Linked DNA regions of Mus musculus. The protein of the gene in region 2 purifies or fractionates together with the protein of the main gene of each other region. This does not show direct contact. Links are inferred from orthologs where the notes say so. Each region holds a gene or a part of one and is shown on either strand. Other genes may lie near its edges.

Evidence for each region. Proteins that work in one complex are often made in the same cells at the same time.
Region 1: the proteins of Met (region 2) and Plxnb1 purify together in Homo sapiens (co-immunoprecipitation; 3 studies listed by IntAct). This does not show direct contact. The link is inferred for Mus musculus from reciprocal best matches to the Homo sapiens genes MET and PLXNB1.

Annotation. Positions count from the first base shown.
Region 1 is NC_000075.6:109,101,422-109,105,523, reverse strand, and holds part of Plxnb1 (plexin-B1 precursor), read right to left. Parts: intron 3,504-4,102; coding exon 3,321-3,503; intron 2,951-3,320; coding exon 2,822-2,950; intron 2,698-2,821; coding exon 2,597-2,697; intron 2,310-2,596; coding exon 2,177-2,309; intron 1,912-2,176; coding exon 1,755-1,911; intron 1,497-1,754; coding exon 1,388-1,496; intron 1,302-1,387; coding exon 1,193-1,301; intron 791-1,192; coding exon 116-790; intron 1-115. UniProt on the Homo sapiens protein: Receptor for SEMA4D. Plays a role in GABAergic synapse development. Mediates SEMA4A- and SEMA4D-dependent inhibitory synapse development. Plays a role in RHOA activation and subsequent changes of the actin cytoskeleton.
Region 2 is NC_000072.6:17,487,726-17,491,827, forward strand, and holds part of Met (hepatocyte growth factor receptor precursor), read left to right. Parts: intron 1-71; 5' UTR 72-120; intron 121-3,501; 5' UTR 3,502-3,515; coding exon 3,516-4,102. UniProt on the Homo sapiens protein: Receptor tyrosine kinase that transduces signals from the extracellular matrix into the cytoplasm by binding to hepatocyte growth factor/HGF ligand. Regulates many physiological processes including proliferation, scattering, morphogenesis and survival.

The DNA of each region.
Region 1 (4,102 bases), on a different chromosome or scaffold from region 2:
GGTTCCATGGCAACACTAGGTTCTCACCCTCCCAAAGGAGAATCAATCCCAGGGTAAGCAAATGGCTGTGTCTTCCCCTCCCCTCCCGAGGCCTCCTTCCTGGGCTGGACCTCACCAGCTCCCAGAGCCCGGGGGTGTCGTACTGGTAGTCGAGGCTGGACAGGAGGATGAGGGGGGCAGGAGGGCCCTCGTGCTCTGCTGAGTCTCCATCACCTGAGAGGAGTGTGGAAGTGGAGAAGGCGGGCGTGTCACCCCCCATCCACTCATCCGCCTCGGGCAGCTCGCCGCCTCCTTTGGTGAGCCAATCCAGAACGGGCTTCATGGAGCCAGGGGCCCCTGGGAAAGTAGTGTCTGGAACAGTGCCAGGGGGCTGGTCCAGAGCCACCATGGAAGGCAGAGCCTCAGGGCCAGGCTCTGCAGGGGACACTGCAGCTGCATCTGAGGGGAATGGGTAGGAGGCCAAGAGGTCCTCAGGTGTGGTCGATGGTCCCAAGCCAGTGGGGGCAGGGACAGTGGTTCCAGGTATGGTAGGGGGGTCAGGAGGAAGGGGCTTCTCATGAAGAGGTGACTCTGTGGAAGTAGGGGAAAGTATGGGGCCAGGACCTGCCCATGGGCCCCAGAGGCTGAGCCGGGAAGGCTTGGCCCCAGGTAGGACATCTGAGGCTGTGGAGGGAGCCCTAGGCTCTATTGGGAAGCTGTTGGGGGTAGGAGTGACCGTGGTTTGGGGGACTGTGGGTGGGAAAGGGGTGAGTTCATCCCTTGCAGGAGGGATTAGGGGAAGGAGTGGGCTCTGAAGGAAAGGTCAAGACAGACAGGAAGGTCACTCAGCAGGCAAGTGCAGGGGCAGGCAGGCAAGGGTATGTTAAGAGGGAAAAAGACCGAGGAAAGAGAAACAAAAACATCCCGTTAATTCTCTAAGGCAGAAGCACGCAAGGCAGGCTCCGGGGGTCTGTGCTGAGGTGGGGAACCAGGACCACACCTCTTGCCTCTCAGCTTAAATGTCCTCCCCAAAACAGATGGGATGGACAAGCAGCCATTCTCCAGTGACTCTGTCACACAAAGCAGCTGGGGTGCTCAGGACAGAGCTTCACAGGAGGCTGGCGGGCACACAGATCCCAGGCCATCAGAAAACCCTCACCCTGGGAACCCCAGGCTCCACCCTCAACATGCCTCATCCTGGAGTCCCACTAACCTGTTGGCTTGCCACCATAGGCCCAGCGTCACACGAGGCCTTGTGTGTGCACAGCTGCTGCCACACACACCAGTTACAGCCCCAGCGGCTGCTCACACAGGCCCGGCACCTGCGCACAGTACAGCCAGTCAGTCATGAAACAGAGACCACAGTAAGGGAGCCCAGATCTGGGGACAGACAAGGTAAGGAACTCACGGTGCAGATGGGGAAGACGCAGTAACTGCCACGCAGTCATAGAAGGAGAGGGAGGTGCTGGCGATCACCACGGCACCAAACCTGAGCTCCACGTTCACAGAGATATGGTCTGCAAAATGGGGGAGAGTGCCAGAACTGAAGAGTAGGGAAGGCTGGGGACCTACATGGGATGAGGCTGGCACCCCAAATAGACAGGAACTAGGGTCAGAGGACATAGCACCAACACTGGGGTCCTGGAGCCAGTAAGGGGACTTAGAGCACATCTAGGATCTTCTAGAGTTATTTCTCATCCCAGTAAGACCTCTTAGAGCAAGATGGAAGCAGGGGTGGGCTCCCAGGTCCAGGGCTGGCCCCTTCTCTCACCCACCGGCTCCTCTCTGCAGCACTGGAGCCTCACTGGGGTCTGGGGAGGGACACATCACACCAGAACTGGTCAGTAGAGCAGGACTCTGTTGGTCTCCAAAGTAGCAGAAATATGACTCCCCTGGCCAGAGAGATGGCAGGCCTGGCACTGACAAGAAAACCTACCGAGAAAGCAAAGGGCACACTTTAGGCACCACTGCATGGTAGGCTACAGACTCTCATTTAAGGGCATCAAGTACAGGCTGGTGCTGGCATCCCTCCCAAATACTCTCTGGCCTTGATTGATAACAGATAGAGAAACCCAAGGCCCAAGAGAAATAGCTGAGCAAGGACATGTGGTATTTGATGCAACGACACAAAAATCCAAGGTCTCCATCCATCTCCATAGCTCTCCCCACTGGGGCCCCGCCCACTCTGGTCATTCACCTCCCTCCTCTCTTCCCGACTGATATTGGCAGGGCTCACGGCCACCACTCGAAGACAGCCCAGTTCCGGCTGGAAGCTCCACAGCCACTGCTCTGGGCCCTGGTCCCTTGAGCACTCCGACCGGCGACTACACCTAAGAAGAACCAGCATATAACTGTGACCCTCCGGCAGCCATCGAGAAGTCACACGGCAGAGACATCTCTCTAGTCCTGAGGACTTCCCTGGTCACAGCCCTCACGTGAAGTTGATACCAGGCTCTTGTGTCTGCTATGGCAGGGAGCTAAAGCTCTGGGCAGTGAGTGGATAAAGAACTGGGGGCTGGGTACCCACATGTTAGCGGCTGAGAGTCAATGGACAAGGTCAAGAAGCCGTTATAGAGGCACAAGCCCAGGTCGGGGATTTGGTAGATAGAACACTAACCTGCCCAGGAGCACACACCATCCGCAATAAGGGTCCCTGTGAGCAAGGCAAGAGTCACAGTCCAGATGCTGAGCACAAGGAGCCACAGGAACCTTCACAAGCTGTGACAGCAAAGAGGACCTGAGGCTGGCAGTCAGAAAACCAGTGCCTCGCCCACATATGGGTCCCAGTATCTGCCCAGAAGCCCCTCCCAGCAGTCACCCCTGGCCTGTGTCCAGGACTTACAGTAGTCTGAGTTGCTACATAGAGATGCTCAAAGGTACCATCAAAGGTAAGATCTCTGTTCACAGGAGACCCCGGCTGGATGCTCTGTTTAGAATATGGGGCAGCACTTCTTCCAGGGCCTAAGTAGACCTAAGATGAAAGACCACAAGGCCTGGCACCAAGCTCAAAGCCACAAACTCAAGACCTTCCTCCACTTAGAACTGAAACAATTTATGAATAATAATTTTCTCTTTTGACAGGTGGGGGGAGGCAGTCTTTAATACTTGTACCTTGGAGGCAGAGACAGGCAGATTTGTGTGAGTTTGAGAACAGCCTGGTCTAGATGAATCCCAGGCAAGACAGGTTCATTACAACCAGCCTTGGGCAAGGTTTATGGGTATGTGAGGAAGATCACAGGTAAATACCACCCAACCCTCAGAGGAGCGGCACACACAGCTGGGGTGGCCTGTAGCATGCCACACGTCACACATCCCAGCCTCAGAACTTCCTAAGGACATACCCTATGCAACTGTCCTTGACTGTCACCCAGGAAAGCAATAGTGTGTCCATCCTCCATGGTGACAGCCACAGCTGTTAGCTGAACCCCTGGTAGCTCCAGAATTGGCGTGGCTTCCAAAGGGACACAGCTGACCATGGGACTGGGTGTGTGGTCAGAGCCACATGGAAAAGCATCCGGGGTGTCCTACAGGTAACAAAAAGCAACACTGAGACCCTGCCTGGATAATCTCCCAGGACAACCACCCCCTAGGTCCTAGTCTCTGCCAGCCGTCCCGACAGTAGCCCGCTCCTTAGCCTTACCTCAGTGCATTCATCTTTCACCCTCACCTTGTCTGCGGCCCCATCTTCTGCCATCCCCTTTCTGGAAGCTAATTCCTCCAGCAGCTACACCTAATACTTTCTCCTAAGCCACACCCTAGAGGCCTCAGAGCTTGGCTCCTCCCCCATTCCCAGCCCACTTGCCTGGACCCTCTTCACCTTTCTGACTCAGTGAGCAACTGTGGCATCTCTATACCCTCCCTAGGTCTGAGCCAAATCCCATCGTTCCCTTTTTCTTCCATTGCTCCAATGCTCACTCCTATATTCAACCCTTACCTTAGAGCCCCAAACACTCTCTTAGCTGACTTCTATAAAGTCACTTCTTTTTATTTTATAAATGCATACACTGTCACTATCTTCAGACACACCAGTAGAGAGTGTCAGATCTCATTACAGATGGTTGTGAGCCACCATGTGGTTGCTGGGATTTGAACTCAGGACCTCTGGAAGAGCAGTCAGTGATAT
Region 2 (4,102 bases):
GTTCACACTGGGTGACTTCTGTCAAGCACCCTCATCCAGAAGAGGATACTAATCAACTTCCTTCTTCACAGGATGGCTGTGGAGAGAAAGCTGACGGTGTAGCAGAACGCTTGGCATGTGGTAAGCACGCAGTGCACATTTTTGTTGTTTTTACTATTATATGGCTTATACCTCTTCCAGTAATTTAGCCTATTGAAGCTTTCCTTTGCTCTCTGGTATTAGTGTGGCTTTCTGGCTTCGTTACACATCCCCTGAAATCCTATATCCTCACTCAGATACCTCTACATGGATCCCAAAGACCACCATGTCCTCAACTGTCTGTGCTAGGTTTCTTCTCTTTCATGCACGCGAAGCGGTAGCCACGACAGGTTGAATGTATCTTATCTTAAAGGTAAGACATCTTAGCTTAATGCTGTTCTTTTGAATTTCTTGCTGGCCTCAGTTTGCATGCTCTTCTTTGGTTATTTTTGAACCTCTTCCTCCAGCTGAAATCCCTAACCCCTCCTTTATATCCATTACTTGAAACACATGTTCATGTACTCTGACTTACTTGTAGAACATGGACTTTCTATGTTCTGAATCCTCACTGCTCTTGTATTGTCCTGTGACCTCTCATCTCTGGCTCTACATGGACCTCTATAGGAACCTTGTGACCAGTCTTCTGCTCCTGGAATCTTGGAAATACTCGTTTGGAGTATTGCATCATCAGCCTTATCACTCACTTGTGCCTGTCACCCCACCTCTCAGGCTCTACTACTTGCCACCATCCTGCCCCTGTTACGTGCCTCCCACTGGTCTCTGCTCTGCACAAAGCCACTGTATCTGTGAGGACACCTCAGTCACTGTCCTCCTTGAGGAATGAACTCTAACCTCATTTACAGTCTGGTGTCCTCCCAACTCACACAGCTGATAACTCATTTGCCTCTACCAATGGACTATGAGCTTTCCAGAGCAGGGCACTGTTTTTGTTGGTACTGAAGCAGTGTTAGTAAAAGAAGGGAAAGTCTTGCAAATAAGCATACATCTTTCCTACAATTTAAGAGTGAAATCCAAACAACTGCTGTTGCCTTCTGCTTGTTTTTCCTCAAAACACACACTCCGTGCACCTTAACAGCCTTTTTGAAAGCCGCAATTAAATGGATTGAAACTACTCTTTGAAGGGCAACAGATAGTTCTTTCCTGTATGAGCTAGGTGCCTCTTGAGACCCTCACCTGGCTTCTGTAACCCTGAAACAATCTCTTGATGTCTCAATGACCTGAGCCTTCTTGACTCTTCCTTTAGTTCTTTTACTGTAGGTATTCGCCCAGATTTAACTCGCTGACCATCTCCTTATTCATCTTGTCCCACCATGCCAAGCATGCCAACCTAGGTTTTAGTTATCAGCTTTTTGCAGTTTGTTTTACACAGAGTCTTGAATTTGCATCCCTTCCTAATTCCACTTGCTACCGGATCACTCAAAGCAGATGTGTCTCACCTGGACCACTCACATCCCTCGTCCATAATGGCAGCTCTCCTCAGAAGGCTTTCATTATTCACCTCGGTTCCTTGGCATAGGTGTTCCATCTGCTCAGAAAATTCATTCCTCATGAATTCCAAGCACCTGATTCCTGATAAATAGCGTGAACTGTCCTAATCATTCCTATGGGAGACCTTTTCTCGGTTCCCATTACATAATAAAACTTGGCATGCTTAAAATCTGTATCTTTTAGCCACCTTCCTATTGCTGCCTGCCATGCTGTTGTAACTCAGTCTACTTCTGCCCGGATGACTCCCCATCATCCTTACCTTCCTTTTATTCTGTCTAGCCAGATGTCAAATGCTACGTACTGAACTATGCGTCACTATCTCTTTCTGTTCTTAGGGGCAATATATTGCTTCTGGCCCTCTTTTACTTCGCTCCAGGCCATTATATTTGCTGGTCAACCATTTCTTTAAAGCTCCCAATTTTTAGAAATGCAAGAGAACCTAAGTCAGAAAGTATGGACTAAGGTTCTTGGTTTTGACCCATACTACTTATCTTTATTTACACAGAGATTCGGTATATATTAGTTTAATGCCAGACTATGTTTCAGGCTTCTCTGTACTCAATATTGGAATATAGTAATGAGTCAGACAGATGTCGTCCTCTCTCTTCTGGACCTCACCACATGATGAATATGTGCCTGTTTCTCATATCATAATCCAATACAGGGACCATCTCTCCGACTCTTGATGCTTGTAGTTTGGGATTTGTCCTGTATGGAGTGTCTTAATGCCAGGTAGTATTGTCAGTCTATGTGTGTTACATAGTAGCCATTTTTTTTAGGTTCTGTGAAAGGCAGGAACCATGAGCCATTTTCCATTTTCCATAGTGTAAGCACAGAATTATGCACATATTAGTTGCTTGGTGACTTTGGTGTGGTTTCATACATCCAAGGTTAGTAGTCTTTGCCATCACTGTGGTGCCAAATATGGTTTTAAGCATCATTCAGCTCATGTTAGGTAATTACCTTTCCTTCTAAAGCCTCTCTTTTGCATAACAATACCCAACCCCGCCCATAACTATTATCAGTAGAATTCACATGTTTTTAACCTGTGTCCCTTATGTTTTTTAAAAAGGAAGAACAAACCAGTTATGGTTCCTGGGAGAAAAACTGGTCCAATTGCATACCACGGAATACTGAAATAATGTTCTTTTTACTAAAGAGCTTTTTGGCTTGATAATGAACAATATGTTGTTTTTTCCTGGGAAATAGTTCTAAAACTTCAGTTCCGAAGATTAAATTTTACTTTCACGCATTTCTGCCTGCTGTTTGTTTTGAAGTCCTGGTGATCTTGCATTAAGCATTTGTCTGTATGAAACAATAGGTTAACTATAGCCAAATTATTACCATACCTTTTCCCTGCACACACACACACACACACACACACACACACACACACACACAAATCCTATAAACAGCGTGTGATTGCTTGCTTCTAGGATTTATGATTGTTTTCTTCCAAAAGGAAGCTAAATTTAGCCTAGTGATTCTACATGCTCCCAAGGAAACAATGCCTGCTGTGATTTCTAGAATAAATGAATCTGAGCCACAGTTCCTTTACTTGACTAAACAAGAAAGTTTAAGCATCAACCTAGTCATTAGCCACAGATAGAAACCCACATTAAGCAAGCAGCAAGGGTTAAGACACAATGTGCTGTGTTTCTTATTGAGCTGCTGAATGCCATTCAGTTGCTGTGTGGCCTCAACACAGAACATTGTTTGCATCACAGAATGGTCCTTGAACATGACTCGTTTGTGGCCTGACTTCTAAAATTAAACTATGTGGAGTCATGTCCAGCCCTACAATACATCTTTATGTGAAGCTAGCTAGCAGTTTTTTTCTTTTTCATTCTATGTAAATAAAATTCCAGTTAGGAAATGTTATTTCTGATATCGAAGCTGGAGGAGTCATGCTTCCATTTCTCTCTTTGTTTCTAATGACGACTAAAGGGCTCTTGCCTGAATGTGTCTTGGCAGATCAACTCCTCACAATGAAGGCTCCCACCGTGCTGGCACCTGGCATTCTGGTGCTGCTGTTGTCCTTGGTGCAGAGGAGCCATGGGGAGTGCAAGGAGGCCCTAGTGAAGTCTGAGATGAACGTGAACATGAAGTATCAGCTCCCCAACTTCACGGCAGAAACCCCCATCCAGAATGTCGTCCTACACGGCCATCATATTTATCTCGGAGCCACAAACTACATTTATGTTTTAAATGACAAAGACCTTCAGAAGGTATCCGAATTCAAGACCGGGCCCGTGTTGGAACACCCAGATTGTTTACCTTGTCGGGACTGCAGCAGCAAAGCCAATTCATCAGGAGGGGTTTGGAAAGACAACATCAACATGGCTCTGCTTGTTGACACATACTATGATGATCAACTCATTAGCTGTGGCAGTGTCAACAGAGGGACTTGCCAGCGGCATGTCCTTCCTCCTGACAATTCTGCTGACATCCAGTCTGAGGTCCACTGCATGTTCTCCCCAGAAGAGGAGTCAGGGCAGTGTCCTGACTGTGTAGTGAGTGCCCTCGGAGCCAAAGTCCTCCTGTCGGAAAAGGACCGGTTCATCAATTTCTTTGT